4 linked regions of the Drosophila melanogaster genome follow. The protein of the gene in region 3 purifies or fractionates together with the protein of the main gene of each other region. This does not show direct contact. Each region holds a gene or a part of one and is shown on either strand. Other genes may lie near its edges. The genes, in order: TAF1B, Polr1B, udd and TAF1C-like.

Region 1 (9,087 bases), on a different chromosome or scaffold from region 3:
TGTCCGACCAGATCCGTGGCAAGCAATATTGTGCTTATCAAACTGTTTCGGCTCATCCAATTAATACACTTCACGGCCCCCGAACTCCACCCCACTGCACTCGTGGCTGGCAGATATAATGAAACTAATTAGCATTTGACAAACACCAATCTCATATTATATTCCTCATATACAGTGGGCGTTAGTTTGTACAAAAGCAAACGCTTCACTGATGAAATTTCCAGAAATTTTGAGTGCAATATCACATGAAAACTTGTTGATATTCTGTAAATTACTCCATGAAATAAGTATACACTTGGGGTTGTAGGTAAATTGCTATAGAACCAGGCGCTGTTTTATCTATCATTAAAACCTGCTCTTGACCCTATGGACTTCATTTTGTTACCACCTTTGTATTAACAAGTAAACAAAGTATGGCTGTGTTGATTATCAAATCGAATAGGTTAATAAAAATAACTACATTTTTGATCTTTAGTCCACTACTGGGGTAGACCACTGTACCAACAAAGAATCCGCAAAAACAGGACCCAATTGGCTAAGGCAAACTTCAGTTGGGAAAACAAATTGTAAGCCCACAAATAATGATTTAGTCACATGGAATCGAAATCAAGATAAATGCGCGTGCTATATGGTTGTTTTCTTATTTTTTTTTCGCTTTGAGCAATTTGTTCGATTTGCTAATGCGAACAGCTTAGGCAAATATTTTGGCATAAAAGTCAGCAAGTGACAAAATAGTAGCTATTAATTGTTTGTAAGTCGGCTCGCTAAACATGGCCAGTGCGAGTCAATAGTTGTTTATTGTTTGGCTCACAGCGAAACAAAGCGGCCTGAAAATGTTGTTAACCTCAAAAACCGCCAAGAACGTCAGCCAGATCGGTCGGTATTATAGCGGTGGGAGGAGGAAGAGGAGGATGAGGGGGGGGGGGTGGCTCAGCCTACAGAAACTAGAGAATCAAATGCTATGGTAAAGCATAAGCCCCCGACCCCCCGCAAAAGGTTGACGTAACAGCTAGGCAGCTAAACTCTTGAGAAATGGAAGCACCACTATACTTTCGGCGGTATTGAAACAGCTGTCTTTCCATAATCGTAGCATTTGAATGGTAACCACACGCGCGCATATTAATATGAAAACATTTTCAAAAACCGAAAAACCAACTCACCAGCAGACTTCTAAAACAACAGATATCCAACAAATCACAGACACAACAGTGCTATTTTAATTGACAGTCTTTAGATATCTCATAATTTGCCATGCACTCGGCTATTTTTAAACTCTGATTTTGAATTTATTTTTGGTTCCTATTTCTGTGGCCTCCACACTTTCATCACTTTCAGATCGGTTCTCTTCAAGTCGCGCGCTGCAACGGTTAAAATTCCTGTCCACACATCCGATTCCACTGCACTTCTTGGGCACAGGCACTTTGGTTTCTGGTTATCACACTGCGCTGGACGGGCAAAGAGGCGTACAAAGGCACAATGGGAACTAATTTAAATTGAATTCGAACTCAGTGCTCGCGGCCAGTGGAAAAGTGGAAAATAGGGAAACTCAAACCGCAGCAGGGCAATAAGGCGAAACAGTCAGCGACGACGTTAAAATTAGCACTGAAACGCGCCGTGCGAATGCGCGCCTATGATTTCTTTACCCACTCTCACTGCTCCCAAGCGGAGGTGGCCTCTTTTCTAGCTAGATATAGCTATAAATATAGGTAAGATCACAAGAATATCGAAAAAAAGCATAAGATAATTCTTATCACCTCTTTCGCCGGATTTTTGAAGTAGGATCATCAGAGATAACTGCTTTATATGAAACAAAGCTAGTAAGACATTAAAAGGAAATCGCTCCTATGAGAGCGTTGACAACGTTAAACTTAAAGCAAATATAAACTATCACAATTGAACACCCTTTAAATTGTTATATATGTAAGTGATTTTTTTTGGTTTATTTATTTTATTTTGTTGTTTATTTGGTATAATTACTTTATAAGTAGAACTGTTCAAAAACAAGCCAAGTGAGCTCCTCTGTTTCCCCAAGTACTCTCACGCTCTTTTTTTGCTCTCTCCAGTTGGTGATGACCGTGGGGCCTGGCGCTCTCTTTTGAAGAAGATTTTTGTAAACAAAACCGCGACACGCATTGTTGCTGCTAATGTGATTGTTGTTGTTCTGATAAACGCTAATTTGCCTATTGATATTGATGTTAATGTGCCTTTGCTCACACAGTCGCGGCCAAGGAGATAACACTGCCCCTTAATACATAGATCGTTTCAATCTAAAATGGATGCAAATTTAACATTTGGGCATAGGAAAACGTATGGGTAGACAACGAATATTTTTGTTAAATGAATTGATCACTTTCGATAAGTGTGTAAATCATAAATTCCTGAACTTAAGCTATTGACGTAGTGGGTGTGTCATGTTTGTACTTTGGTAACTGCTTAACACACAGATTTATTTGCATCATAATCACTGTTGAAAGATTTCTACAGGTTATATACACAAAAAGAAAATCTATCATTTGAGGTAGAGCACTACGTAGAAGAATATTATATTTTATACAGATGGCATCGTTGTTTGTTAATTCAAAACTTTTAATACTTCTAATATACTACCATAACTCCTTGTACGTCCTGGCGAGGGTTCGGATGTCCTTCTCTTGAGTATTGTGTTGAATACACAGATAGTTCCTATGATTGCTCCAGTCCCTGATGCTGTGATGGTACATCACTTCCACAATGAGCAGTTCCTCGTAGAGCTCCTCCCAGACTATGCCTATTGTGCTGGCACACGTCTCCAAGAGCCAACGGAAGGAACAGGGGAACAACTGACGCAGTTCATGCTTGTCATGCCTCCGAATTCTTTTCATATAGCCGTGTAGAAGCCAGCAATCAAAATTTGACACTTGCAATAACAGCGTCTCAGGGCTTGGCGGCTCATCATTGATATCGCTCGCTACTTGGTCTGATGCTCTATCAGAACCTTCCGGATTCAAAATTTTTTCCAGATTGCGACGGGGCAGATCTAGAGGGATGTTTAATGGATCCATGGTCCCTTCCTCGAAGGTTTGCAGTGAGCTAAGGCTGTCAAGTGGTATCTCGTTATCGTTGAGTTTGAGAAGAAAGCTGGGCGTTTCGGTAACATCCCAAAACGGATTATTTATCTCAAGTTGCACACGCCTTGCGTCGCGCATTGTTATACGTTTCAAATATCGGGCTCCATAGGTTCCAGTGGGCTGTGTGAACCGAAAGTCCGGCCGTTTCTCCTTACGCTTTAGCTCGCTTATCCACGTCTCGGTTTTAATTTCAGTGTTGGCGCGGTATTCTCGACCGTCACCTCGGATTATTGTTAGTGGGCGGAATATGCCCACGTTTTGGATGTCCTCCTGGCAGGCAAGCTCCTCTACTCGTAGTTTAAGGCCATGTTGGGACAAATACTGCGACAGCTCGGTCGTTTCCAGCACAAAGGGATCCAGGTTGCGGGCCGAGTGATCCACTTTCATGTGGTCAGGAATTGTGATTTTCATTTTTGCACCATCAGACCGCGATACTTGGAGTAGGATTCTGTTGAAGTAGGAGTGAGCCGGAGTCAAGCTGGGCTGGAATTCAATGTGTTCCTTCTCCATACTTTCTTTGCTGGACTCGCCAAAATGGTCCTTCAGCATGGTTTCAATAATGTGTGTCAGGTTTTCATGCTGACGCTTCATTGCCGCAGATCCCTGCATCCAGCCAAAGGTTTCGCCTTGCTCCTTCTCTTTCCACTCCTTTGCCAGTATGTCGTCCACCTGACAACCAGTCCGGGTGGATACCCCGAAGCGACGGGCAAAACTTTGGTTGTAATGTGAGACAATCACTTTCCTCATCTCCACAAACTCCATCCACTCGGTAAAAACAAAAAGCAAGGGAGCCTCATCTCCGCCGACTTCCAGCAGTTTTTCATTGATTTTAGCGGCCGATTCAGATATATTCCGCTCCTTGAGATCGTCCAAGCCGAAGAGCAACTTCATGGCGTAGAGGATGTAGGCCATAGTCCTGGCCTCATAGCGCGGATACGGATGTACGGTCATGGCGTTAAAAAAAGTGGGCGGATGCAGGTCAAGCAGGCTATTCACGTACTTCAGTAGCCGAGGTGGCAGTGCCAACTCCAGAATATATCGCTCCGCTAGGGAGTGCAGGTTCGGTTTTTGATATTCAGACAAGTTTATGAATCGTGACATACACGCGATGTTTACACGCAGAAGCTGTGGAGAATATAAAGATAATTATTAGTTGTGTTCCTTTTTATTAATAGATATTTCTATTTTTCTATCGTTAGAAAATGATGGATTATAGTCACCTTGTTGGTAACCTTGTCTTTCATTTTGCTGAGCTCCATATCTTTGAGCAGTGCCTTGCCCTTGGCCGCCACATTTCCGGGCAGATAGTTAAGCATGCACCGCTTGGTCAAGTGCTCCTCATCAATGAAGCGCAGCAAGTCCGATAGCTGTATATCATCCTCCACCATATTAAGGGCTATGCCCAGCACCACATACAACTTGATAATATTCAGGCAGTAGATGTTACGATCAAAATTGTGGAGCTGCTTGACCCTCGGTCTCAAGCTGTGGCACGACATACTACCCTTGCTGTCGCGGCTATGCTTGTCCAGGTGCTTCAGCGGCATATGGCGCTTCAAGGACTTGCGTGCACGCATTGACCATTGCAGGTGGAGACTCTGCTCCCCTTCGGACTCTGAAGCTCCTCCGTGCGAGCGGTAGCCGGAGGCGTCTAGATTGCGCTGCAAAAGGAATGGGATCAAGGTGTTACAGTCGCATCTGAGTAAACATCACTAATGAATAGGCTAACTATGTCATTTATATAGCTTGTGGAGCTATAAAAGACGAACGTGTTCAAGTCAGCAGCAATTTGGTAAAGTGTGTCGTTGCAAATATGTCCATGCGTCTGGTTCTAATTGGCGTGGCCATCCTGGCATTGGCCTACGGACAACCTGTTCCCGGAGCTCCAGAAGTCACTGAAAGTAATTAGATAAACTAATCCTAACGCTTATTGTTCATCCAACATATTCGCCACAGATTCTAATCCAGTACAGGAGATAAATACAGCAAAACCCATGTATAATGACTACCAACGGACCCTTTTCCTGCTGCTGCCCCTGCTGTTTCCTAACCAATTCTATATACCGACTACCAGCGGCTAATAAACTACCTTAGTTCTGTTCCACAATCTGAACTTGGCGCGCTCGTCATTTGGGTCACCCGTTAGAGTGCTCTTCTTGCCCTTTATACCGACTACCAGCGGCTAATAAACTACCTTAGTTCTGTTCCACAATCTGAACTTGGCGCGCTCGTCATTTGGGTCACCCGTTAGAGTGCTCTTCTTGCCCTTTTTGCCTTTCTTGAATGTCTTATGGTTGTAGATGATGCGGGCATCTCTGAAAGAATTCGGAATTTAAAAATAAGAAATTTTAGGAGAATGCAAGAACCCACATGGGCAGCGCCCGCACATTCAGTTTAGGCAGTCCCGTCTTGTTGCTCTTGCTGAAGGCCACCTCCATGCTGTCCAAGTAAGCCGCCCACACTTGCAGGGTCATCAGTTTGAGCTCCGGCTTGGCGCCCATGTTGAGCAGCTCCTGGAGGAAGCCGCGCAGCACGTAGTTGTAGAATTCCCACGAGGTGATATCGTCCTCATCCTCCTTCTCCGTATCCTTCTTCTGTCGGATCGTCCTGGCTGTATATCGGCCTGCTGCCGTGTCATCAAAGTTATCCTCGGCGGTAATGTCCACTGCACGAATCTGATCCTTCTGTGTGCCACACTCTACGCAGTAGTAGAATCCCTCGCGCTCCTGGAAGGTGGTACCCTCGCACACATCGCAGTGCATGTTCTCCAGCTGCATCGTCTCGAGAACTTCCTCCATTTTTGGGACTTTCTCTTGACGGTATCAGATTTAAATTATATTATTAATCAAACTCGCGGTTGTACACAAATCGTGCATGTGATAGTGGTGGGGAATGATCTATGTTTACAACGATATCATCCGTTCTTCGATTGATTCGATATATCGTCCGTTTCTTCTATGAAAACGTACATCACTAGATTAAGGCGGCAAATAAAAGTTGGTTCAAAGTAACATATTTTTAGTCATGGTATTTTAATAAAATTTTATTTTTATATAAAATTTAGAGAGCGGTTTTTTTTTGAAAGTATATATTAAAATCTAATAAGCGTAAAGGGTATTTTTTATTGTTTTTTATGCCAACCTGTTAGATGCACTTGTACGTTAGCCATCACTGAACTCTAATCTCTCGTAACATTTCTGTTATCTTTTTGGTGTGACCATAAGCAGTAAGAATTGAATTATCCATGTCTTGACGCTTGATTTTTAAAAAAGTCGATTCGAAATATCGATAGGCAACGTAATTTTTTAGCGCTAATAAGAGGTGTTACCAGATTCGGAAAAGCATAAGAACGCGTTTTTCGTTTTCGTTGAATGGCCACTCTGTCCTTGTGTCCATGTACTTATGCATATGTATAGAGACTCGATTCAAAACAAAATCGGCTGGCGAACGTTAACGTCGTTGTCGGACGATTCGACTCGCGTCTCTCTAAGTTTGTTGTTCGTGCCAACCACCCCCGCCGGTACCCAAACGCCCCCTTTTCGCGCGAGTGTTTTTATGGTTTTGCTGAATGAAAAGGCTCGACGAATGCGCTTATTGAGTGCCCACTGTGTCGGGTATGGCAGTGAGTCCTACAGAATGCTCTCGCTGCACGGACAGTTCATGAGAATTTGACATTTAAGTGCGAGTTTGTTCCTCCTTTTGCGGCTAACTGCAGTTTGTAGTTTGCTGTAGTTTTATGCACATTTTTTTGGCGTGGGCTGAGATTGGGACACACCCACCCGAAAACAAAAACAAAAAGTAGTCCAAAGGCCCCAATAATTGAGTGTCTCTGTGTGTGCGTATGTACGTGTGTGTGCGAGTTGTTTATGTGTGCGAGTGAGAGGAAAGGGATTCGAATCGAGCCGGTTTTCGCGAGTTAATTGACAAAGCAAACGGCGGAAAAGCAGCAAACATAAGCAAACCAAAGAGGAAAATAAACAAAGAATTTTAAGTGCAGATATGGGTGTTCGAAGTCAAGTGATAATTAAACAAAAATCACACTAATCCTGACAATGAAAAGGATCACCGCTACAATGCTGAGTACTCTATAATATCCACGGCGATATTCCACCCCGAAGTAAAACACCATGGCCAAAACGCCCCCGCTCCGCCCCCACGGTAACATGGCCAAATTCCTGGCAGCCCTCGGCATCTGCTCTTGGCTCCTCGTTTCGGCCACCGCTCACAACTGCCAACACCAGCATCCAAAGGCCCACGAGGTGAGTTGCGTTCGTTTGGCTCCAAAAATGAAGGGATTGGATTGAATTGGATTGGACTCTATGGTATTGGGTTGAATTGGCCTTCTTCTCTTACTCCGCCCTTTCTTGCAAATAAAACAAATAATATCCGGGAAAGGGCTATTTTGGGAACACGGAATCTTTAAGTGCTCACCCGCACACGTGTGCCAAATATTTACAATCCCAACTACATTAATATTAGTCTTTTTTTTTTTAGTCTTGCAACTAGCTAAGATTTTTCATGCTAGATAGCTAGATTACAAGATAGTATAAGGTATGAAGATGGTTTGGTAATTTCAAAAGAAAGAGTCCTTAAAGTTTAAATCAGCTGGAAAATCGCAACTTCGGAAATTTCAATGCTCGAGTTTCTTGTTTGTTTCTGCTTCGGCCATTTGGGCAGATTGTCCTTCGTGCTCATTAGAGAAATTTCATAATTGGTGCAAACTGTGCTCGTCGAAAATTTATAATTGATTGGGCTTTGGCATGAAAAAGGCAGGCCTAATTAGTGCCGATTTAAGAGGAGCCCTGAAATTGCCATTCTCATAATTCTGCCATAGAAACAGCGGCAAAAAACTGAAACAATAAACATCTAGCGATGGTTGGTGGCAACCACAGCTTATTGACTAATTCCGCTGGCTAATAATATGCGCATTCGAGATTCAGTCAGTCAGTCAATGCAATGTGGTTTAGTTTGTCAGTCAGGTGGTGGGGCTGCATATTAACAGGTAGCTCATAACGTGTAACCCACCATCGTGGTTACCAAACCGCCTCCATCTGCACCACATCGACATCCACATCCAGTGATCTAGTTAGGGTTTAATGTCAGACGCTGCCCGCCAACTTGTTGCTCGGGATCTGCATTCCGTCGGGCTTTTGTTTTTGTGTCTTTGGAAGTTTTTCGCCTGCACTTTACTGCTTTCCAATCAACGGCGATTTAATTGGCGCGTCGCCATAAATAAAGGTCGCCTTCAATTGCGCAAAAAGGGGAAATTTACATGATTACTGTATCGAGGCGGGTACAGTCTGTCCTCCGTGGTTGCAACTGCAGTATAATCGAACATAAAATGTTCTCGGAAATATGCATTTCCCAGGTGTTTTATAACTTTTCAAATATATGCACTTGTGGAGAACGAAATTAATACACAGCTGTATATGGTGTGGCAGCTAAAAGCAACTATAGTGTAGTTTGCACAAAAGATACATAAGCTTTTTGCAAACATTGGCAGGATGCATCCTATTTTCAAACTCACCAGGGGACACAGAACTTTTTCATTCGTTAACAATATAAAACACAATATATGTATGAAAAATCTGTGCAAACGCTAAAGTTTTAATTAGCGAGTAACTACTTTGTTTTCAAGCCAGTAAAAGTGAATTGGAATGGCAGGGAAATGAATTAATTCAGCGACTGTCTGTTGATGGCTAACGATGCTGTCGAGGTCGCCCAGCGTGTAATTAATTGAATTATCTGTAACTTAAACTGTTGTAAATGCAAAAAACCGTCGTCCAGATTATGTGTCTCTCTGCGCACGGAATGTCCTGCTGTCTGGCCACTGAAAATCATCCTGACAGGAGCAGTGTTTGTAGAGGAGGATAAAGACATAAATATATGTATGGCGAACGAACCAATGGTACATACATATATGTTCACATCCGTATGGAACATCCATTCAATTAAATAGCGGTCCAGCTGAAACCGAAGT
Region 2 (8,676 bases), on a different chromosome or scaffold from region 3:
AATATGGATCTTGATTTCTATACGACCTGCATTACTAGCTCACCTGAGCACACTGTTCCTCCTTCACGCTCAGCATCTGCTTGCAGCAGGAGATGACCTCCTTCAGGGTTCCTACCTGGCGTTGAACCACTTCCACTTCTCCACGCAATGACAAATTCTCGGCCTGTGCCTGCTGCAAAGCCAACTGAGCATTGGCCAGTTCGATATTGGCATGGCGGCTCCTGGAACTGGGATTCTCATCATCTGGATCTGCATCAGGCTTACTGGGACTATTCGAATGGTCGTGCTGATTATCGGCTTGACCGTCTGTAGCCGTAACTTTTCTAAGACGTTGATTCTCAGATTTTTCTATGGCCAATTGTTCTTTAAGACTAGCAATTTCATCCCTCAGGCCCTGCACAGCATTTTGGCGAACCTCTTTTTTCTGACGAAGCTCTTCTCTGAACTCTTCGAGGGTCTGTTCTCGTTGATGGGTCTCATTTCCTTTGTCCTCCATTTCAATTGCAACTTTATTCTCACGATATTTCACTCTATTTTCGGGAAGTACCTCCTCAGCTTCTTTTTGGGTTGTGGCTCGGGGGGCCTGTTCCAGAATGAGATCCTCGTGCTCGATGTTGTTCCACCAGGGCTCGTCATCAGTGGACTGCTGCATCTGCATTTGCGTATCATCCGCAGACTGTGTGGACTCGGCATTTCCCATCTTTACCAACAGAACAAAGACGAACGAGCTGTGGTATGCGGTTGTGATGATCTGTTTACCAATGCAGATTCGCCTGGCGAGCGTTAAATTTACGATTCGCTTTAATGCGACTTTTCTTCTAGAGAAGAACTCTTTGTCGGCACAAAGAAAGCCCAAGATCCACCGATCTACAGATCGCCACCAATTGATATGGCACCAATACCAGCAGGGGAAAATACCAACAAAAATCGGTGTCTATATTTGTGTGCGACGATCACACACGAGTTTGCAGATTTCGCAATTATCTATTGACTTTCACTTTTCAACCAAGGATGTTCGAGAAAAAATAATGTCCCGATTTCCATTAAATATTCTTCACTTGCACATTGAACTTCGAAAGATACGGAAAAGGAGAAACGTAACTAAACTAAATATCTAGTATACATATGATAAACTTCTATATGTATACGTGACGTTGGAAAATTTTCGGGTTCTAATTTCTATCCGTTCGACGGTCGAACGCAACTTTTCGGTTAGCCAGCTCGGGAAAAACTGAGAAAACATTGAATAGATTCTGCTATTTTTAACCCACTACGATCTCTCCTGCTTTCAAACGAATTTGGCTTCTCTCGGCGGCACTCCCAACATAAAATGCTTTGTTTTCGAGCATTAGAGATTCTTGTTATGTTGAGGGTTTGGCAAGATGTCTGAGAGTCTTCTTAGGACTCTTCCCTTCACATTCTTAATTGTTCTTTTTAGTTTTATGCACATTTTAATTAGAAGAACGTGTCAGATGAATCCGTCTAAAATTATACACAAGCGTCATTTTAATTATGAGTAAGGGGTAAAACAAAACAAAACTCTTGCCACATCGCCTGTCAAGAAATGAAGATCAAGACCAGTTGTCAAGAGCTGAAAGAGAAAGATCCGCAACACTTACTAGGTGAATGATCTGCACTGTTTTGAAGACGATGTTTCCTAACATCAGGAACTTTAATTACATATAAAAAGCATACAAAAGAATTAGCATTACTCTCAGTTTTGGTATTAGGTAAAAACTCTGGGTGAGTATGAACACATGTTCAAGGTTAAATACAGCACAATCCTATTCATTTTTCAATTCATACACGATCACAAACTTTTCTTAGCGCACCCCTGTCTGACCCACATTCGTTGACCATTATCACTTCGTTAAAGAGAATAAATCTCTGGACCTTTATTAACCAATTTGTGATAGTGGCATAGGGTATCCCGCGCACCCCCGAACTCAATGAAAATCTTTCGCGCGAAAGTTTCAAATGAAAATCCATTTGCTAGCTGATTTTTGCACTGGCCACGCCAACTTCCTGTTTTTTTCCCCCAGTGCGCGCATTTGAAAAGTGGGAAACACGCAGCAACGATTCCAAACCAAGGACGGTGAAGGGTTTTCCGGGGTAGGAAGGAAGGATGGCGCACACATTTGGCAAAGTGTCGCCAGGCTTGAAAATGAAAATCAACAATGCAATTTGCCATGGCGCCTCGCTCTGCCCCTTAGTTCTAGGTTTCTCTGTTGTTTGTAGCGACTCAAAAGGGAAAAAATTCTGCTAAAAACTTGAAGCGCCAGGCAAAAGTTGGGCCCCAGGAACGCCCTCAGCTTTTGCAGAGATTGCACACAGGCAAATGTGCAGCGAAAGTTGAAAGTAGCAAGGATACAAGAACCAGGCATCAAGGACGCTCTGCCCAAAATAAGTTGCAAGAAATCCATTGTGTTCATTATAATGGAATAATAAACCGGAGTGACTGCGTTCAGATTGGGGTTCTTTCCTTTTCCATTAGCCCCTGAACCATCTCAAATTGATGATATTTTCTTGATGTTCCCACAACCACTTCATGTTTTCACGTTAAAACCCAACAAAGTAATTTGGCAATTCCAATACAAGAAAAATTAAGAAATCTGGCATCAGCCTTGATTAACACCTATCTTAAGACGAAATATAATGTTAGTAAAATTTTCATATTCTCGCAGTCATTAGACATTAATGTGCCAGTCAGTGGGGTTTAAGCCCAAGTATTCGACAAAACTGCTTCTTAGAAGCTTTAGATGGCGTATTTTGGGGAGGGTGCTTCAGATTAATATGCACATACATACATATGTGCATACATACGCCACCTATGTGGCTCACAACAATGCAACAACTTCATTGCCAGAGCAACACGTTGGCACATCCTGTTGCAAAGTCTCATTTCCGCAGGAGTTGTGTTCTACATACCGGATGCCTTTGCAAATGCTAAATGGTTATTGCCGTATGTGCACAATATGTCAGACGTTGCAAATAAATTATATTTGCTTTTATACAACTTGGATACAATTCAAAATTGGGTTATCAGGCTTATCAAGCGCGCACATATCAGCTGTTCCTTGCATTCGGTTGGCAGCCCAGTTATTTAAAGATGAGCTGAACACGAATCGGAACCATACGACAATTCACCGAACTTTAAGGTTATTTTAGTGTGTTCTATTAATCTGAATACAAATTTTTAGTGATGGTTCTTTATTTACCGAAAATTTTTATCCCAATCATCTATATTCTTATTTCATTCAGTTATATGAACAATATAATATATGAACTAGTTCTTTGCGACTGCCTCACCACTGACTGGTTCGCATTCAAAACGGTTCGATTCCAAACAACACGTGCGAAGGAAGGCAATAGGTTTCTTAATATTTTTGGTCGGCATTCTGAAAGAATAATACTTACAACATGCTGGAGGAGATGCAACAAATGAAGACCATTCCAGTGCTGACCAATTCCCGCCCGGAGTTTAAGCAGATACCTAAAAAACTCAGCAGGGTAAATATCAATCTTGTACCTATAGCAAGGTTTCGTGCTAATAGATTTACTTCTATGGCTAGCATTTGGCCAATTTGGGAGGTCCACATGTGGATTCCTTCGACGAGATGCTGACCGTGGGACTGGATAACTCGGCCAAACACATGATCCCGAACCACTGGCTGAGTCCTGCCGGCGAAAAGATTTCAATGAAAGTAGAATCAATATGGATAGCGAAGCCAAAGGTGCCGCAAGATGTGATTGATGTGCGCACCCGAGAGATTTACCCCACGGACTCCAGGCAGCTCCATGTCTCCTACTCGGGAATGTGCTCGGTCCGATTGGGGTGGAGTGTCAATGGAGTGCAAAAGACTCCCATAAACATGGACCTAGGAGAAGTGCCCATCATGTTGCGCTCCAAAGCCTGCAATCTGGGACAGGCTACTCCGGAAGAAATGGTAAAACATGGAGAGCACGACAGCGAGTGGGGGGGCATTTTTGTGATCCGAGGAAATGAGAAGATTGTACGTATGTTGATCATGACCCGGAGGAACCATCCCATATGTGTAAAACGTTCATCCTGGAAGGATCGTGGACAGAATTTTAGCGATTTGGGTATGTTAGTGCAAACGGTCCGTGAGGACGAATCATCCCTGAGCAATGTAGTACATTATTTAAACAATGGAACTGCAAAGTTTATGTTTTCTCACGTCAAGAGACTATCATACGTACCAGTTTGCCTGATCCTCAAGTGCCTAATGGATTATACAGATGAGGAAATATACAACAGATTGGTGCAAGGCTACGAGTCCGACCAGTACTATGTGTCCTGCGTGCAAGCCATGTTGAGGGAAGTTCAAAATGAAAACGTCTATACGCACGCCCAGTGCAAGAGCTTCATTGGCAATCTGTTCCGTGCCCGCTTCCCAGAAGTTCCGGAATGGCAACCGGATGATGATGTCACAGACTTTATTCTTAGGGAGCGAGTAATGATTCACCTGGATACCTATGAGGATAAGTTCCAGTTGATTGTGTTTATGATTCAGAAGCTTTTCCAATGCGCACAGGGCAAGTACAAAGTGGAGAACGTCGACTCAGCTATGATGCAGGAAGTGCTTCTGCCAGGCCATCTCTATCAGAAATACCTAAGTGAGCGAGTCGAATCCTGGGTCTCGCAAGTCCGACGTTGCCTTCAAAAAAAACTGACTTCACCTGATGCCCTAGTTACCAGTGCTGTGATGACGCAGTGCATGCGACAAGCAGGAGGAGTTGGCCGGGCCATAGAGTCGTTTTTAGCAACTGGAAATATTGCGAGTCGCACTGGCCTGGGATTAATGCAAAATAGCGGATTAGTCATTATGGCGGAGAACATTAACAGGATGCGTTACATGTCCCACTTTCGCGCCATCCACCGTGGTTCCTATTTTACAACGATGAGAACCACTGAGGCGCGGCAGCTGCTCCCGGATGCCTGGGGTTTTATTTGTCCAGTGCACACTCCTGATGGCACACCGTGCGGACTGTTAAATCATTTGACTCTAACTTGCGAGATTTCGATGCGTCCCGATCCCAAGTTGGTGAAGGTGGGTACAGCTAATGGTAGACTTTATTAGAAATTTTAACCGATTACTTTTTTTTTCAGGCCATTCCCAAGCATCTTATAGATATGGGCATGATGCCCTTGTCAAACCGAAGATATTTGGGCGAAAAACTTTACGTCGTCTTCCTAGATGGCAAACACTTGGGTCACATTCATCAATCAGAAGCCGAAAAAATAGTTGACGAATTGCGCTACGGGAAGATATTCGGCACCCTTCCCCAGATGATGGAAATCGGCTTTATACCCTTCAAGAAGAACGGTCAGTTTCCAGGGCTTTACATTGCAACGGGTCCTGCCAGGATGATGAGGCCCGTTTGGAACCTAAAGTGGAAAAGGGTGGAGTACATCGGAACACTGGAACAGCTTTATATGGAGATCGCCATCGATGCAAAGGAAATGTATCCTGACTTCACCACTCATTTGGAGTTGGCTAAGACCCACTTCATGAGCAACTTGGCCAACTTGATACCCATGCCGGACTACAATCAATCGCCACGTAACATGTACCAGTGTCAGATGGGAAAACAGACGATGGGAACGCCATGCTTGAATTGGCCTAAGCAAGCGGCCAACAAGTTATACCGCCTTCAGACGCCAGGGACTCCTCTCTTCCGACCAGTACACTACGACAACATCCAGCTGGATGACTTTGCAATGGGCACAAATGCTATTGTAGCTGTCATTTCCTACACGGGCTACGACATGGAAGATGCTATGATCATCAACAAGGCTGCTTATGAACGAGGATTCGCCTATGGAAGTATCTACAAAACAAAGTTTTTGACGTTGGACAAGAAGAGCAGTTACTTCGCAAGGCATCCACACATGCCGGAGTTAATAAAGCATCTTGACACGGATGGTCTTCCACATCCGGGCTCCAAATTGAGCTATGGTTCGCCCCTGTACTGTTACTTTGACGGAGAGGTCGCCACTTATAAAGTTGTGAAAATGGATGAAAAGGAGGATTGCATAGTAGAGAGCATCCGACAGTTGGGAAGCTTCGATTTGTCGCCAAAAAAAATGGTGGCCATCACACTGAGGGTTCCACGACCTGCCACTATTGGAGACAAGTTTGCATCAAGAGCTGGTCAGAAAGGAATTTGCTCACAAAAATATCCTGCAGAGGACTTGCCATTTACGGAATCTGGTTTGATTCCAGACATTGTGTTCAATCCCCACGGCTTCCCCTCCCGAATGACAATCGCCATGATGATAGAAACGATGGCGGGAAAGGGGGCTGCAATCCACGGAAATGTTTACGATGCCACGCCTTTTCGCTTCTCCGAAGAGAATACTGCTATTGACTATTTTGGCAAAATGTTAGAGGCTGGGGGTTACAATTACTACGGAACGGAGAGGCTGTATTCCGGCGTAGATGGCCGCGAGATGACTGCTGACATATTTTTTGGAGTGGTGCATTACCAGCGTCTTCGGCACATGGTGTTTGACAAGTGGCAAGTAAGATCTACGGGAGCGGTGGAAGCTCGGACCCATCAGCCAATTAAGGGCAGAAAACGCGGTGGAGGCGTCAGATTCGGTGAGATGGAACGGGATGCTTTGATCTCTCACGGTGCTGCTTTCCTGCTGCAGGATCGCTTGTTCCACAACTCCGATAAGACGCACACCCTGGTGTGCCACAAGTGCGGCTCCATTCTGGCGCCTCTGCAACGCATTGTTAAGCGAAATGAGACGGGAGGACTCTCTTCTCAGCCAGATACGTGTCGCTTGTGCGGGGATAACAGTTCTGTATCGATGATCGAGATACCATTCTCTTTTAAGTATCTGGTTACCGAATTGAGTTCGGTCAACATTAATGCGAGATTTAAGTTAAATGAAATTTGATTTAAATCTAAAATTATTGTTAGGTCCTATGTTAACCCGTGCGCTAATCGTAATAAAGATAAATACGTAAAATACAACTGTGCTTGCCAAGTGTTTATATCCAGATCGTGGAAACGTTTTAAACACCTTTCAAATGGTTTCAATTTATATTTATTTAAATACATATTGGTTTACGTTTACAGTTAAATTCCTGCACTTGCTATATGTAGTTGTGGCTTGGTTTTCTTGCTCTTGCAGTTGCTTTTGTTTTGTCTGTGAGTGTTAAATGGAATTTGTGTGGAATTTTGTAACATTTAACTATTGCACTTTGGAAATGCCTAAATTTCCAGCTGTCATGCACATTGGTTTTTACGAAAGGATCGAGAGTTTAATGGTAATAAGTATTTGATGTCAGTTTCCATTATCGGTTTTCAGTATCAGTATCTATATAGTGTATATTTTAGTTTACAATTCTTTGTTCTTTATCGGCAGCCGTCTCGCATTTGAAGAGAGTCATTAGCAGATTTATGGCTGGCGGCTACTGCTGCTGCTGCTTCAGATTAGTTAATACTTGGTGCTACAAAGATCGCTTTCTCTTCAGGAAGCGGCACAACATGAAGTAGCCCCTCTCAGTTTATCTATGGTACACAAACGAAACGTAATATTACCCAGAATCATTCAAAAAATTCTGCTATAAGTATAATAATATTCTGAAATTTTTGCTTCGTTTTCTTCAATAGGGAAATTTTTCCTATCGTTAATAAATTTTAAGTTGCTCAACAGTGATTAATCAAGGAGATTTTGTGGATCTGTCTAATTATTTGTCTATTATTTAATGAGATTTCTGCTCTTGCGGTCCTCCATTGGATTTTACAATCAAAAACATTAAACATGAATTTCGTTTAGATGCAATTGCAATAATCAATATATGTATAAATATTTAGATAACGATTTGCATACTTGTCATTTGCAGGCATCTTAATAATTCCCTTGCAAGCTTTTCTCTTTTGTTTTATATTGATTTCTGTTTTTATTACAACGACGTATATACTAGGTATATGTATGTGGTTTGTATGAATGTATGTAGATCTGTATATAGGTATATAATATCCAATTGCTACTGCCTCGAAATGATGCAACAATATATAATTTGTCATACATATAAACATAATCTAATTATGTTCTCTCGTTTCTCTACTATGAACTTTTTGAGCTTAACATTTACAAAAAAGTTTGGGAACATGAAATTGAAAATGGTTAAAGTAAGAGTAGGTTTACAAACATAATATTCAAATAAACAGGACAGTGGGTAAATCAACTCGCTGTTGGAGAAGATGAAAGGTACTTAAGAAGAGTGTAGGAGTGTGCCTGGCATAACTAAACGCGTACAGTTCTAGGGCCTTGTATGCTTTGATATTTCTCTAGGTAATTGGGATTGTGCATTGTAAAGTGGTTGCCGTTGCTCCATGGCTTCGCAGCTCCGTCTCCATCACCCCGTCCATGATTGTTGTGGCTTAGAATTGATCCGTCAACAGATCGCAGATTTCCCGAGTTACGGTCTCCTTGCTTGCCCGAACTGTCAGTCGGAACATCTATTGATAATTTGAGAAATAGGCAATAGGCATTATGTTCCAAGTATCTAACAATAAATTACTCACCTGAGCCTGCTTGTTCGGCTCCAATCGCATAAGGCAGCCCACCTGTTGCGATTGCGTATGAATGATGCCCGCGCAGACCATGTTGTCTGGATTGGGATCCACTTGGTC
Region 3 (6,182 bases):
CATTTATGCCACATAGTTGTATTGGTTTTGATTATCCTTGTCTCGCTCCATGTAGTCGCGGTCGATGAGCGACTCGATTCGCTTCTTTAGGTCAGCGGGCTGGAATACCAACGAACATATTAGCTTCTTTCTACTTAGAACAAATAGGATTAGTATACGGACCTTGACAGGGAAGGTAAGCTGGTTGAACAGCTCGGTGATGAGAAGATTATGGCTCAGCGTTTTTCGCATTTTCATAATGCGCACAATAGCCGCATCAATTTGATACTGACGATCCTGAAACACACGCTCCTCCGTCGCCTTTTGCTCCTCATTCTAATGGAAAAGGGGAAAGATTAAGTGTGTGCAAATTACATCAAAACTAAAGCCACTTACTGTCTCCTTCATCTGTATTTGGTTGATCTTGATTCTAAACAATTTGTTTGTGAACTCATTGTTAAAATCAAACTGATCGCCATCCAAGATTTCGCGGCCTTTCGGTGTTTTTGTTATGACGCGGGCGCGCCCACAAGCCAGGGACTGAAGTGTTCGACGCAACTCTCCATCCTCGATGAGGGTGGCGGCCAATATCTCCTCGTAGCTCAGAACTGGCTTATCGTTAAACAATAGAAGCACAAGCGCTTGAAACAGCGAGACCAACAATTCTTTCGGTCCCTGTGAAACATACGTAAACATTGCAATCGCATAGAACATAGTAGGAGCCATTAGTAGTTACCGCATCGAATTGAGCACGCAGCATACAATTTCCTAATGTAGGCTGCCACTGCAACTTCCGCCCACTATGCTTTTCCAGATAAAATTTGTTGAAAATCTGCTGAGGATTGATGAACTGTGGCGGCATTGTGACCTCTGTAGGTGCATATGTAGGCCAGTAGCCCATGGTAAGAATGCTGACGCACAAGTCCAAGTTGTGGACATCGCGGTTGTTGCTTAACGCGTGTCCGCGGAACGCAATGTTGATATCTCGGCTCAGTTCCATGTCCTTAAACATGCCCTCCAGCTTGGACGTAAACCCTCCACCGCACTCCTGCTTAAGCTTGGAGAGCATACTCTTTTCGGAATCCACTGATGCCGATTTGCCCACAAGTAATCGTTTGGCCAAGTCCTAAGATGGTATTCGTTATTAAATAATGCTCGACATACAATAGATGGACACAACCTTTTTGTAAAACGCTTCAAATACATCTTTGCCATGTATAAAACGAAACAGAACCATGATTTTATCTAGAGTCTTTTCCAACTCCTCATCTGTGGTTCCCTTGTTGCCAGATCGCAGTTTCATATCTACGTATTTAGCTAATGGAAGAATAAACTTTAGCAAACTCGTTTAAATATAGTGACAGTGGGCGCTTACCAATAAGCTCGGCCGGCTTGTTGGCACGTTGGTTGATAAAGAACTCAAAGGCCTCGCGCAACGAGTTTGTGAATTTCTCATTGTGCTCAAAGCAGGTGCGAACTATCACATCCATTTTGTCCTTGAAATCGAGCAAATCTTGGACCATGCTCTTATCCTTCTCGGGATCGATGACAATGGTGCGTCCCTTTTTCTGAAAGTAAGTATATTAGCGCGATCTATTAATATGTTTTACTGCAGTTAAAACAAAGGTATCTTTAAATAAATTTATACTACTTAACATATCCATACCTTAATGAAACCGTTGAAATTGCCGCACAGCTCGGATGTTCCATTTTTGACTCGACTAAGCAGCCCGTACAACAGTGTAAGGTCACTCAGTCTGTTGTCTTCCAACAATGAATCCAAGCCCTTCTGCAATATTGACGTTAGGTGTTCGGCAAGTAACTCTTTTTCCACATTGTAAATCAGTGGATGTCTGTAAAAAACGCATTAATAATTGTTTTTATTATTGACTTCGCCAGCATACTTGGTGCTCGAGTCCAGATAGTGACGCAAACGCTCGTTCTCCTCGGCCAAACGCTTGTTGACGTGTTGTAAGTACTCGGGAACTTCCAGTTCTTGCATCTTGCGTTGACTCTCAGCCTTATACAATTGATTGGTTGCGTCGAGGAACTTCTCCTCAAAGGAGCTGGTGTAGATCTGCAGGTCGCATAACATGCGAACCAAGCTCTTCAGCAAACCACGGTCCACGGTGGAGCCTTGTCGTTCTTTTTCAATAAGCGTTAGTAAACCGTCGACGGTTCGCTTTTGGACAACGCTGTTTTGAGCAAAATGGATGCGAAAAAGGTCCAGCCCCATGTCCCAAATCGAGTGAACGGTCGAATTTTGCAGCACATAAGTTCGATCCATATACAAGAATATGCTGCGAATCATGATCATTTGTTGGCAGAACGAGAGCCACCAGTGGTTGATCTTTTCCAGCAAAATCTAAAAGACAATAAAAGTTGACGAGTAAACCTTTAAATGTGCTCCTTAAACAGCAACTTACCAGTTTGTCCATGCTACCGCCGGTGAGCTCCTTGAGCTTAATATTGCGCTTTACGTGTTGCTCTGTTAGCTCCTTGAGTTTCGCGTATAATTGTGCATCCATCTTGTGGCTACACATGTTCACCACCGCCTGGTAGAGCTCCTCCAGCGAATATTTAATGGGCTTGGAGAGTTGGATGGCGATAACGGCTTCTTCAAGCTTCACGTACGTGTCCTTGGAATAGTTATCGGGCAGTGTAGGCTTATCTAAGGAAGGAAGGAAGGAAGTTGAATCATGCAGTATACAAACAGTTGAGATCTAGACGGGACCTACCCTTAAAGTTCTTAATCACTATCTTCTTGACATCGCCAGGCTTGCTGTTGTGAATAGCCCCCATGCGATTGAGGAGATTTGAGGTAGTTGAAGCCGTGCGGATCTCGCCATGGCTGCCGCCTAGCTTGGAGAAGTTTGGCAGGCGCTCGCCGTTGGTGGACGCAGAATTCATGTTTTGGGCAGCGAAGGCACTGCGGCCCACGCTCGAGGCGGCAGCAGCGGTGGGGGCGACGTTCTCGGCCTTCTTCAGGCAGGCGGCAATATTCTCTGTGTTCTCGTGCAGCTCAGTTGTGTCCATGGGCTTGTACTTCTTGGCCGCACTCATAGCTTAGGGCCCCTGCTGCCAGCAGGATCTCCACTCCGCTCCTGCTCTCCTGATCCTGCCCTGCTTTCGTCGCACCGGCTTTGCTTAGTCCTGGGCGTGGAGATCGGTTATTGATTGCTGGCTTTTCCTTTAAGGGAAGGGATTGCAGTTTGTATTTCGATACGTACCCTTGAAATGATTACCAGCAAATATTCGTAATATTTTTGCGACTTTTGCACTGGGGTCGTCAAGAAATTGGCAACTTGCGAACTCAAGGCAAATAGACTTCCTGTGAATTTTCCGGCTGCGAAGTAGATTTCTCCGACAAACGGCGTCCTTTTGGACAAATGGGGTTCCTTCGACGCCTGAGAGACTATTCAAATCGACAAAACTTCGGAAGTACAATTACACAGGCAACATTTTATTATTTCGCTTTTGGTTGCATGCGGAAAATATTGCTTTTTGGGATATCGGACGAATCAAAACATCGATTGGCTGCGGGTAATCGATAGCTCAGCGGGCAGCACTGCCTATCGATATTGGTGTGAAACAGGTTAACATTGCCTATCACTGTTAGCACGACGCATTGTGTTCGCGACGCATTTATGTTCGCTTTCGCCATATAAAATGAAAACAAAAGATGAGAAGCCATCGCCTTTGAAAACTGCACCGCGTAAAATAAAGGGTGAGAATTTTCCAGCCAGAAGGATACCCGCAAATGTTTTGAAACGCACGCTTGAGATCGCCACCAGTCCCGAAGATGGCTTTTGGGTGAACCAAAACCCATCCTGTGCTCCTCCGGCCAGTAACGAGTTTTACTTCAGCGTTCGACGATCCACTGCGTACGAGAAACTACGACTGGCCCGGGATTGCCTTATGCAGCGGGACTACAAGAACTTGGCAAAAATACTGGCCTCCAATCATATGGGAGAAACGCTGCTCCAAAGGGCGTCCTTTCAAATATTCACGGAATACTCCAAGGTTCTTCAAAAGTGCCCAAAGTTCTACACGAAAATGGAGCAGTTGCGAGTGGAGCCGACTCCTCCGACGAGACCCACAGATGAAGACATAGCATTAGACGATTCATTAAATGCTATTCTATCCTAGTTACCTTTTTTAATAACGACGAAGTTAGGCAAGAAATATAATATAACTACCTCATAAAAAAACGCATATTAAATTGCCTATTAAAACTGCGTCCATCCCACTAATATATAGTGACGTATTTGGGTGGTCCAAACCAGCCACTTCCATTATTTCAAAGAAATCAGTAATGCACTCTAGTAATTTTCCATAACGTATCCCAGCTGCGCAGCATTCGTTTATCTTTGGCAGCGCAGCCGTTCTTGTAAACATCCTAAAGCCTGACCTAAGCAGATTTGACTGCCCTCTTTCAACGCTACCTAATCTTAAGAACCCAAGAGCGAGGCTCTCCCGAAATACAAATATTGTTCAAATACTGAGGCTTCTCCTCAATCCAATTTGCATTTGATTTTTAGTCTTAAGCTGAGATCCAAAGAATAAAGTCGTGAAACTATTTCTCCTAAAAACTATTTTTTATTTCTTGGCGTTGTCCTTAGTCAACTGACGGGACATTAGTTCGACTCATAAATAAAACAACAATTTTACTGGCGCAGTCGGTAGGATACAAAAGTATCCGAAAAAAAAAGAACCTTCGAGTGGAAAATAAGTTAAATTTTATAGTCCAGTGCTCGAAACATCTCCCAAAATAAATTCGTGAAAACTCTTCAACTTGGATTATAATTCCAATTCGGTTATCCAATAATAAGTGGAAGTGAAATACGAAACAAAAATATTAAGTCCAAAGGCAACTAAGTTTTAAAACCAACATATAAAAATAAAAAATTAAAACAATATAGAATTTTAATAATACAACACAAAAATTTACAAAACAAAAAAAAACAAACAAGTGAAACTAGAAAGCTTAAAAATAATAATAACATTGAATCCGAAACAAAACAAAAAAATAAAACACAAAAGTTAAAAATTTTACAATAAAAATGTCACAACCAATTATTGCGCTGAGCGACATAAACCTTGCCGAAGCCCGTCGGCAGCTTAAAGACATTATGCCATTCAAGGGTGATCCAGAAACCCTTCACACCTTTATCAGCAGAGTGGATTACGTAATTTCGCTCTACCAAACAAATGATGTCCGACAACAGAGGATTCTACTGGGAGCCATCGAAAGGAACTTGGACGGACAAATTACACGATCTTTGGGACTTCCGAACATCGAAGATTGGCCTACCCTTAAAGCAAGACTCATCGCGGAATTTAAAATTCAAACACCAAACTACAAACTTCTGGAGAACTTCAGGGAGACACCATACAGAGGAAGCCTAAGAGCATTCTGCGAAGAAGCGGAGAGACGACGTCAATTACTAATTTCGAAACTACACCTGGAAGGTAACCAATCGGATTTTCTTATTTATATTCAGGGTATTAAAGAATCTATTAAGATACTGATAAGGAAACTACCAATACAATTATTCACTATTTTAGCCCATCACGATATTACAGACTTAAGATCCTTAATTACCATTGCACAAAATGAGGGAATTTATGAAGAACACATTAATTTTGAATTTTATGAAAAACCAGAATATCGTAATAAAAATTCAAATTCTAACCAGAATTCGAAAACACAAAAATTCAATACAAATGTTCAAACTCAAAATCGACCAAGTTACTCACAATATTCCCAACCCTTCCAACCTAATTTTAATCAATACATTCAACCATTTAGACCTAGCTATACACAGCAGATAACTAACAACCCACCCATGTGGCACGCACCTAATTATTTCAGACCCAACCAATACATAAACCCACAACCCATTATTCAAAAAAATCATTTCCAACAATATCCCAACAAAGCCCAATTTCCCCAAACAACGCATTTTAGAGGAAATACATACCCTCGACTACAACAACCCTCTACATATAAAAATACTAACTTCCCGATTACTAAACGACTAAGACCATCGGACAGTGAACAAACTAAAATGTCTATTGACGAAATTAGATTCCAAGACGCGCATGAATTCGAACAAGTCCAACCTAATTATTACGAGCAACAGTATTTTAACCAAAATCAATACAATCCGTATCAAAATCATAGCTTCATTAATGAAGGG
Region 4 (7,936 bases), about 13 Mb from region 3:
TAATACGTTTAATGGCTCTTGTTTTTTGTAAGATCTTTCAGTGTTCGATTTCCTTGGAAGGTGGCTAACAACAAGTTCTCTGCTGCCCCTAAAAATACTTGCTCAACTATTGTATTGACTGCAATTTGTCCGAGTCCTTCAAGGATATCGCCTCCGATGTGGGAGGGGGTACAAATTTGCAAAACAGAAATTATTCAAATGTTCTTTGGGGGGCGGAGAGACAAGATACCCCATCGGTAGGGGGCGTGGCAGGGGTTCTGGGGCACCGACAACGGCAGCAAATCACATACAGGAAATGTCACGCTATGTCAAGCCGCAGGCCAGCAGGAAAAAAAATCGTACAGCCGAAACGAACCAAATCACACGCTCAACGTCAGAGCGTGTTGTTGCAGGATATGGGAGAATATCAGTTGGGTAGGTGGGAGGCTAGGGGCGTGGCACGGTGGGGCAATGAGGGGCGGCGCAGGTTGCCCTACTGTTACGTGTTTGCAATCGATTTGAAAGTTACATAAAAACAGAGCCGCAGCAGACCAAGGGCAGAAAAGGGAGAAGGTGCCAGGGAAGTTGGTAAACACCTGAGTGGCCAACAAGAGCGTCAACAACAACAACAACAAGAACAACAACAGGAGCAGCAACAAGGCGCCAAAAGCAATTTGTGCGGCGAACTTTTTATTGTGTTTGCCTTCTGAGTAAACTGACCTACGCATTAAACATGCAGGAAAGTTAAACATCAGATATAGATACGTATACATACATGTATGTACTGGACTCAGATACTCAGGAGGACGAGACGAAATCCTGTCCATGGCGATGGCGCCGACAGGTTACAGTAGAGCCGTTAAAGTGGAGTCCTCACCCATTCATTTCCACACCCAAAAACCGCTAGAAGCAATAAAATTTCACAAAACAGCGAATAACAAATGTCTGCAGGAACAGTAAACACTGCCAATAGGTAAACCAATTAGGGCAACTATTAGAGATAACAGTCAAGTCGCTTTTAATGAACAACCCCATTATTCCATTTCGCTTTTCCTTTGTTTAGTTAGGAAAATTGGTCGACTATTGTCTAGAAAATCAACTCGAAGTTGATTTGAGGTTTTTTTGCGAATTGCCTAGATCGTCAAATTTCTTATTTAACTTAATTGCAATTCAGAATATGGAAAAAAGGTGTAGGAATCAAGGAAACCTACTAATTTAGAATCCCAGGACAACATGCAACCGCACTTTTTTTTACTGGCATAACTTGGTTTTCAGCACACAGGCTTCACTGTGGCAGCTGCTGAAATGATTGCGGCGAAGTTTTCTGGAGGTCGTTTAGAGTGGAAAAGCGCCAGCTCCGAGAGAGGGAGAGCGATAAAGAGGAAGAGAGACGGAATGGAGCGAAGGGGAGGGCAGCAGGGGTCCATTACGTCAGAGCCAGAAGCCATTTGGGTTTTGTCAAAAATTAGCAGTTAGGAAAAGCGAGGAAAACCCAAACGAAACCAAAGCCAAACATACACAAAAAAAAAACGAATAACGAATAAAAACGAACATCATAAATGGATGAATTAGTACAGATATGGCGAGCAACAAGAACAACAACGACAAAAACGTGCATACAACAACTAACTGTTAACTAAGTAAAAAGAAGAGTGCGCAAAATATACAATAGTGCTAATTGAAAAACAGATACTGGGATGCAAATGAAAAGTTTTAGATGAGGCAGTGTGTTTTCTTTTCTTTTTAATGGGGGCGAGCGCAGAGAGAGAGAGACAGGATAAGACAGAGAGAGAGAGAGAGAGAGAGAGAGGGAAGAGTAATAGATAACTGCAACAAAACAAATGCAAGCGGAGCGAGAGGGAGGGGAGTAGGATTAGAACTGGTTAATGTTATCTTCCAGACCCGCCCCTCTCTTTCACACCTTTCCAATTGGCATTTGTTTTGTTGTCTGTTTGGCACTTGTATGTATGTTAATTGTGCCCGTTGTGTGCGGTAGTGTAGGTGTGAGTGCAGGTGTGTGCGTGGTTGGATTTAAAAAACTCACCTGACGCTTTCCGTTGCTTTTTCTTCTATTCTTTTGTAGGCCTCAAAATTGAGATAAAAACTACTACCGCTTTTTACCAACGCCTTCTTTTTGGCTAACAAAAAGAGACCGTTGTTTTAACTGCACTGTCTATGAAAAAATCAATATTCGGTCTCGACCAACTTTTTTCTTCACCTTTTCTTTTACAACTTGTGTAATTTCTGTGCTCGTTCTGTTTCATTCACTTATTCTCTCGCTCTCGCGCGCACGCACACACACACACACGCCCGCTGTTCGCGATTGCCAGTAATTTTCGGGGATCAATTTCTTGTAATTTCTCCAGCTGCTTTCAAGTCTTTAATTCTCGGTCTCGATGCAGCGCAAAGCAAATTTGATAGTGATGGGGAGAAACATCGATGCATCGGGAATCGATGTTTTCATATAGGTGCTATCGAGCTAGCCGATATTTTAGAAATAGTATCGCCGACCAGCGATACATCGTCGCTTATCAAAACATCGGATTCTTAAATATTTTTGACTTAAAAATGTAAATGTTACTTATTATTGGTGTCTAAAACCTTTACATTTCTTTAAAAAGGTATTTTACGATGCTTTTTTTTTCAATGTTACATTTTTGCACTTCCAATGTAATGTAATAGATAATCCAAAACCTATATTATTTTAATATATTGTGAATATTTTGCTTGTAATGCTCATAACAGCAAGCATGCGGTTGGGTAGACATAAATACCCATCACTAATCAGCTGTTTCTTGCGTCCAGAGGAAACGTCGTGCGTTTGGCGTTTGATTGAGTCAAATTCAATTTGTTAACTAAATTCTTTCGTGCAGAACTGGATAGCTGATCGAAGAAATCCGTAAGCCAGGCTCACATGCATCAAAACACATCGGCCAGCTAGCAAAATCCGATTTCTTATTTATACTCCAATTACAGACATGCCGCGACGCTATCAAACAGCTCTCAATTCGGCCAAATACAGTGCCCAGGTCAAGACCAAAACTAGTGACAACGAATCCGATTCCGAAGATGATCTTCCGCCGGATCAAGATGCTGAGGATAACAATGAGCCAGATAATCTGCGCAGCATTTTGGAAAATGCGCCGCACTTCTCTTATCCCGGCTTGAACACTGGAATGTTGGGCCAACTCTTGTACGATCATCAGGATAATCCGAAGCAGGACTTGCCAAATTGCTCGGTTACGGTGCCGCTACCCCTCTTCCTGGCAAAGGATGGACAAACTCCCCGAGTGGAGGCATGCGTCCAAAGGCCATTCCGCTACGACGATTGGACACGGCAATTGCAATTAGGCAAGGCTATATTTGATAGGCGACTTAAAAATATGAGACAGCGTGTACAGAAGCAGGAGCAAGGTGTACACGATGCCAGTCTGTTTGAGATGGCTGAGCACATAGCCCAACAGGAGAATTCCTTCTTCAGGGACAGCTACGATTACTACTACACAGGCGGAAACCTAAACACGATTCCGTTTGATGGAAACGATCAGCTGGCCATGCATGTCAGCGGTAATAAGCTCAGAGATTTGCACTTTTCCCGAGATTATGGTGAGGCGGAGTTTTGGCAACCATTGCATTCGGCTACGATAGAGGAATCCTCCAGCGAAGTCTTTGAACTTCTTCCGCTCCACAATTTAAATCGCAGTCAAATGTTCCTGGCACGGTTGCTGAAGGAGGTTTCCCTATACGAACTTAAATGCAAAGACGAACAGGATTCGGATTCAGATTACGAACTCATTCGCCATTGCATGTTTAGCAGTCAAGTAGCTCCTTTTACAAGCGCTGCACAATCATTGGCCAATGCCAATACATTGGCCTTAGCTAGCCAGGATAGGTCTTTGCGCTTCGTGGATATTTCGACACAACAGGATATAGCCAAGCTTGATGTTTGCTTGCTAAAAGGACTGAAGAAAACCTCGAGTACCTGGGCACAGTTAAAGCAAGCAGAGGAAAGCACCTTTCACTGCCTAACACAGCCAGTTTTGTTTACCGTAGATGTGCGATGCAATCTGCCTCTGAATCCCTGCTTTGCCAGCGGCGTTCACTCAAAAGCTTGCGAGAGGTTCTCTTGTTTGGCCAAGGGTGTGAATCCTAATCTCTTGTATGTGGCTAGTAATCACAACTTCCACTGTTTGGATATCAGATGCTTGGGTAAAAAGCTGACCGATCGAGCTGTCGTCACCTGGACGCATCAGATGACCTATCCACCCTGTTTTATTGACACAAGCGTTCACCAGGACAGTGAATATATTGCGTTAGGTGGACTCTTACCCAAAGATTTGCGAATTTGTGAACTGCAAGGAGCTCAGGCAAAAAGTGTCGATGAAATGTTCTCGCCGGCAATACCATTTGCGCCGGTAACCCTGGAAGAAGCTTTAATAGATGCTCGCTTGGGAGGATTTGTGGATGTCTATGCTGATATAGCAGAGCGGGTAACGACCTGCATTACAGGAATGCGCTTTATTGGCTTAGAGGGGGCCAGTGATCAAGCTTTTACCCAGTTGCTAACCTCCAACAGCTTGGGAGATGTTTACTGCCAAAGACTAACGCTTAGGGATGAAGAGGAGCATGTCCAGCAGATCAGAACCGGAACTCATACAACGGAAGCCATTCGCTACCTTGCCAATGCCGTTAATGAGCGCGTCCAACGCGAGAACATCCGCTGCACACAAGTCCAGTCGATACCAGAGATAAGAGACATCTTTCGAGATGGTGCCAAAAGATCAAAACCTGAAGAAAAACCTTTAATCGTAGAGGAAATCGAAATTGACTATGGCATAGAAGATACTGATGTTTCAGAAGATGAAAGCCCAGCCTCTGAAAAGGTAAAGGAAGAACCTTCGGAATCCAAGAAAGGTGGTAAGAAAACGCCTAAGAAAAAAACCAAGGTGAAACCAAAACGGCAACCCAAAAGGAAAGCTGCCAGTAAGAGAAATGTTAAAAAGCAGAAGAGCATCAGTCGCGGTCCCTGGCAGAAATCCGCTTACAAGCTGTCCCACTACACGGACATGATGTCGACCCGTTTGCTGGACGTGTGGGATATGGAGGAGTACGACACCACACGAGACGTAACAAGAGAAATGTTCGATGAGCGTATAAAGGGGAAGGAGCTGGAACCTGAACAACGCATGGCCAATTGGTTGGAACAATTGCCCAGTCAGACAGTGGTACCCACTGAGGACGAGGTGACCGAGGGAAATCCCGACATGGTTCCCGGTACAAGTCTACCAAAGCTATATGGCGCCACTACAGCGAACTATTCAGTCATTCCAGCCCTTAATTCCGATCAGGACATCGGAGAGCGCCTTTTGAGTCCCAAAAAGGAATCGCCTGTTGAATTTGGCCGCGAGTATTCTATCTTGCTGCCCGGCCAGAATACTATCATCGAGGACTATCCCTGTGCCCCGCCAGCTAAGAGGCCCAAGGTTAAACACGTAAAGGGTTTCTAGCTTAAGTTAGAGTTGTTAACCTTAATTTAAATTTAACAAAAATAAATAGCAGATTATAAAGTATATTAAATAGAAGTAAGTAGATTTAGAATTTAGATTTCTGCCAACAATATTAAATGTTTTTTATTTTTTATTCGATTGCAATAATTTGAATAACACAACACACACTTCACATTAGCCCATCCCGAAAACTTTATTGCTTGTTATACTTGCCATTTTCGATTGATGTCACTGGTTGAGGATGTATCTCCACCAAGATCGGGTTCGTAGGCTGGATTCACGATTCCCTCGATGGGCTCGACCACAAAACGATCATTCCTGCGTTTGAGGGCGTATCCCACAGATCGTTTTGCCATTTTGGGCTTATCTTGATCGCCGTGCAGCATTATATTTCGCCCTTTTTTTTCCAACACGCCACACGACCGTTTAGAGAGTGCCTCAGATTTCGACTGATTTTCAATTAATTTGGGCAGTTTGCATTTAATTGATTGATTCGATCTATCTATCGCTCGTCGGCGCTCAGTGGGGCGTAAACGAGCCAAGGGTGACAATTCCATAGGAGTGGCCATAGATAGAATATATGCTTAGTTTAGTTTAAGCTAAGCTCGGTTGAGCTGAGCATCCAAAGCTTTTAGTTGGAAAAGATTATCTTGAACTAAATGCAGCGAACTATTGAATGCTATTGACGGGAACATTGGCATATTCACAGATACAATGCTGAAGCTCAGCTCCAAAAATTTATTGGGAATTAAAAAATTTTTAAATTGATTTTGACAACATATGTGCACACTTAATATTAATCGTTTTCATTATATCGTATCGTATTAATCTACCAGTGTACAAAATTATCAAGCACGGTTTAAAAATAAACTGTAATAAATTAAATTAGAGTATGAAAACAAAAGAAAATGTCACATAATTTTGCCGAATTTAATTCGCCAATCATTAAATTAACTCTTTATCAGGCTCCACCCACAAATAAAATAAAAGAGGCGCCTGCGCACTAGAAAAAGTAGGCGAGGCATAATGTTGCTTAAACTTTGATGCCAGCAACATGTAGACTACGGCATATTCTTTGGAAACTCCTTTTAGTTAAACTTGAGCAATTGCTTGAATAGGTTGTGTGTCCTTCGTGTTCCATATATTTTTCGTTTTTGTTACATTTTTCAAAACGATTATTAGCTTAATAAAAAATGAATAACTTTTTGGAATACATTTCGGTATTACATTGTTCCTGTAAGTTCTGATTAATCATAAATTTAAAGTTAAATTTTAAAAAATTAATCTTACATATTAACTAATTTATTTGGGATAAGGAACACCTTTGATTGTGTCTTAACCTAAGTCCGCCTGATCCGCTCCTGAACAAGTTTCTGCTTGATTACGTGGACAAGTGCTCTCTCTTATTCTGCCCCCCGTATTGTGGATCGCGTTCCCACAGTATGTGAATCTCTTTTGGCTCTACAAAAACACGATCTTTCACTCTCTCTCGTACTCTTACACGTGTGGATGGTGGTGGATCACGATCCCCCGCCTCCTCCCGCTCACACTTTCCGGGTCTCTCTGAAGATTTCCACTCTTTTTATATAGGGGTGCACCCAAAAAAAAGATAGGGAATATAATGAAAAAAACATTGAAATACAAAAAAAACTATAATCTTATGAAAAACTTGGAGGAATGCAATATATATAAATAAGATTTTAAACTAAACTACAAAATAATCTGGTCTAACTTGCAAAGTGCCACAAAAATGTTTCTGAGTGTAGAAGTAGCGGTTAGTAAAACAACGTCGGCGGCTTCGGTTCCAGCATTTCTCGCCCGCACTTCGATCGAATCGGACGTGTTTGCACTTCACATCCGCCGTTTGCTCGCGTGTTTTCTGTTGTTCGCCCGCCGCATCCGCCCCCGCCCCTTCGCCGGAATCGAGTGATATCCGTCTGTGGAAGACCAAAGGTATATTACAGATATCAGATCGTAAATCGTGTGCTTGGCTTAGCGTAAACATCTTGGAAATGTGCTCATTAAGAAATGAAAATCGAGAAATCGAAAGAAAGCGTGTACTTTGCCATTGCTGTCGTGTCTCTTCCATTCATATTCAGTCCACGCCATCACACATGCATACACAAATAAATATATATACACACACATACGCCCCAAGAAAACCGAATGATGGAGGAGGAGAAAGAGAGCTTATCGCTACAAGTCCATGAAAATAAAAATAAAAAAATATCGCCGGTCATTTGCTCTTGCTTTTGTTGCTAAAGATCGGCTCGGGTCAGCAATTAGCATTTCTGATTCGAAATAAGAGGAAAACTCCTGACGTGTCGCTTAGGAAAAGATTTTCCGAAACATTTAGCGCCGGTCTGTAAATTGGATCGCTTACGGTAAACTTCGTACCGCCAGTTCACTGAACCTTTCATAAAAGACACACAAAAAAAAAGCTGAAACAA

The links.
Region 1: the proteins of udd (region 3) and TAF1B purify together in Drosophila melanogaster (affinity purification with western blotting; one study listed by BioGRID). This does not show direct contact.
Region 2: the proteins of udd (region 3) and Polr1B purify together in Drosophila melanogaster (affinity purification with western blotting; one study listed by BioGRID). This does not show direct contact.
Region 4: the proteins of udd (region 3) and TAF1C-like purify together in Drosophila melanogaster (affinity purification with western blotting; one study listed by BioGRID). This does not show direct contact.

The regions. Positions count from the first base shown.
Region 1 is NT_033777.3:10,138,167-10,147,253, forward strand, and holds TAF1B (TATA box-binding protein-associated factor RNA polymerase I subunit B), read right to left. Parts: upstream 6,019-9,087; 5' UTR 5,906-6,018; coding exon 5,478-5,905; intron 5,423-5,477; coding exon 5,302-5,422; exon of another isoform or gene 5,189-5,301; coding exon of another isoform or gene 5,064-5,188; intron 5,009-5,063; coding exon of another isoform or gene 4,921-5,008; exon of another isoform or gene 4,904-4,920; intron 4,769-4,903; coding exon 4,328-4,768; intron 4,233-4,327; coding exon 2,604-4,232; 3' UTR 1,937-2,603; downstream 1-1,936. Other genes in the region: CG42759 (uncharacterized protein), read left to right, coding at 4,921-5,008, 5,064-5,188; invadolysin, read left to right, coding at 7,235-7,366. UniProt on the Drosophila melanogaster protein: Component of RNA polymerase I core factor complex that acts as a GTF2B/TFIIB-like factor and plays a key role in multiple steps during transcription initiation such as pre-initiation complex (PIC) assembly and postpolymerase recruitment events in polymerase I (Pol I) transcription.
Region 2 is NT_033779.5:400,964-409,639, forward strand, and holds Polr1B (RNA polymerase I subunit B), read left to right. Parts: upstream 1-3,321; 5' UTR 3,322-3,420; coding exon 3,421-3,510; intron 3,511-3,572; coding exon 3,573-5,072; intron 5,073-5,131; coding exon 5,132-6,931; 3' UTR 6,932-7,006; downstream 7,007-8,676. Other genes in the region: CG4213 (uncharacterized protein), read right to left, coding at 44-700; AP-2alpha (adaptor protein complex 2, alpha subunit), read right to left, coding at 8,425-8,502, 8,569-8,676. UniProt on the Drosophila melanogaster protein: DNA-dependent RNA polymerase catalyzes the transcription of DNA into RNA using the four ribonucleoside triphosphates as substrates. Second largest core component of RNA polymerase I which synthesizes ribosomal RNA precursors.
Region 3 is NT_033778.4:8,102,808-8,108,989, forward strand, and holds udd (under-developed), read left to right. Parts: upstream 1-3,577; 5' UTR 3,578-3,648; coding exon 3,649-4,128; 3' UTR 4,129-4,566; downstream 4,567-6,182. Other genes in the region: Cul4 (cullin 4), read right to left, coding at 4-99, 163-315, 376-654, 716-1,105, 1,160-1,296, 1,355-1,547, 1,646-1,832, 1,884-2,344 and 2 more.
Region 4 is NT_033778.4:21,496,567-21,504,502, reverse strand, and holds TAF1C-like (TATA box-binding protein-associated factor RNA polymerase I subunit C-like), read left to right. Parts: upstream 1-2,770; 5' UTR 2,771-2,878; intron 2,879-2,955; 5' UTR 2,956-2,957; coding exon 2,958-5,486; 3' UTR 5,487-5,600; downstream 5,601-7,936. Other genes in the region: CG46395 (uncharacterized protein), read right to left, coding at 5,690-5,872.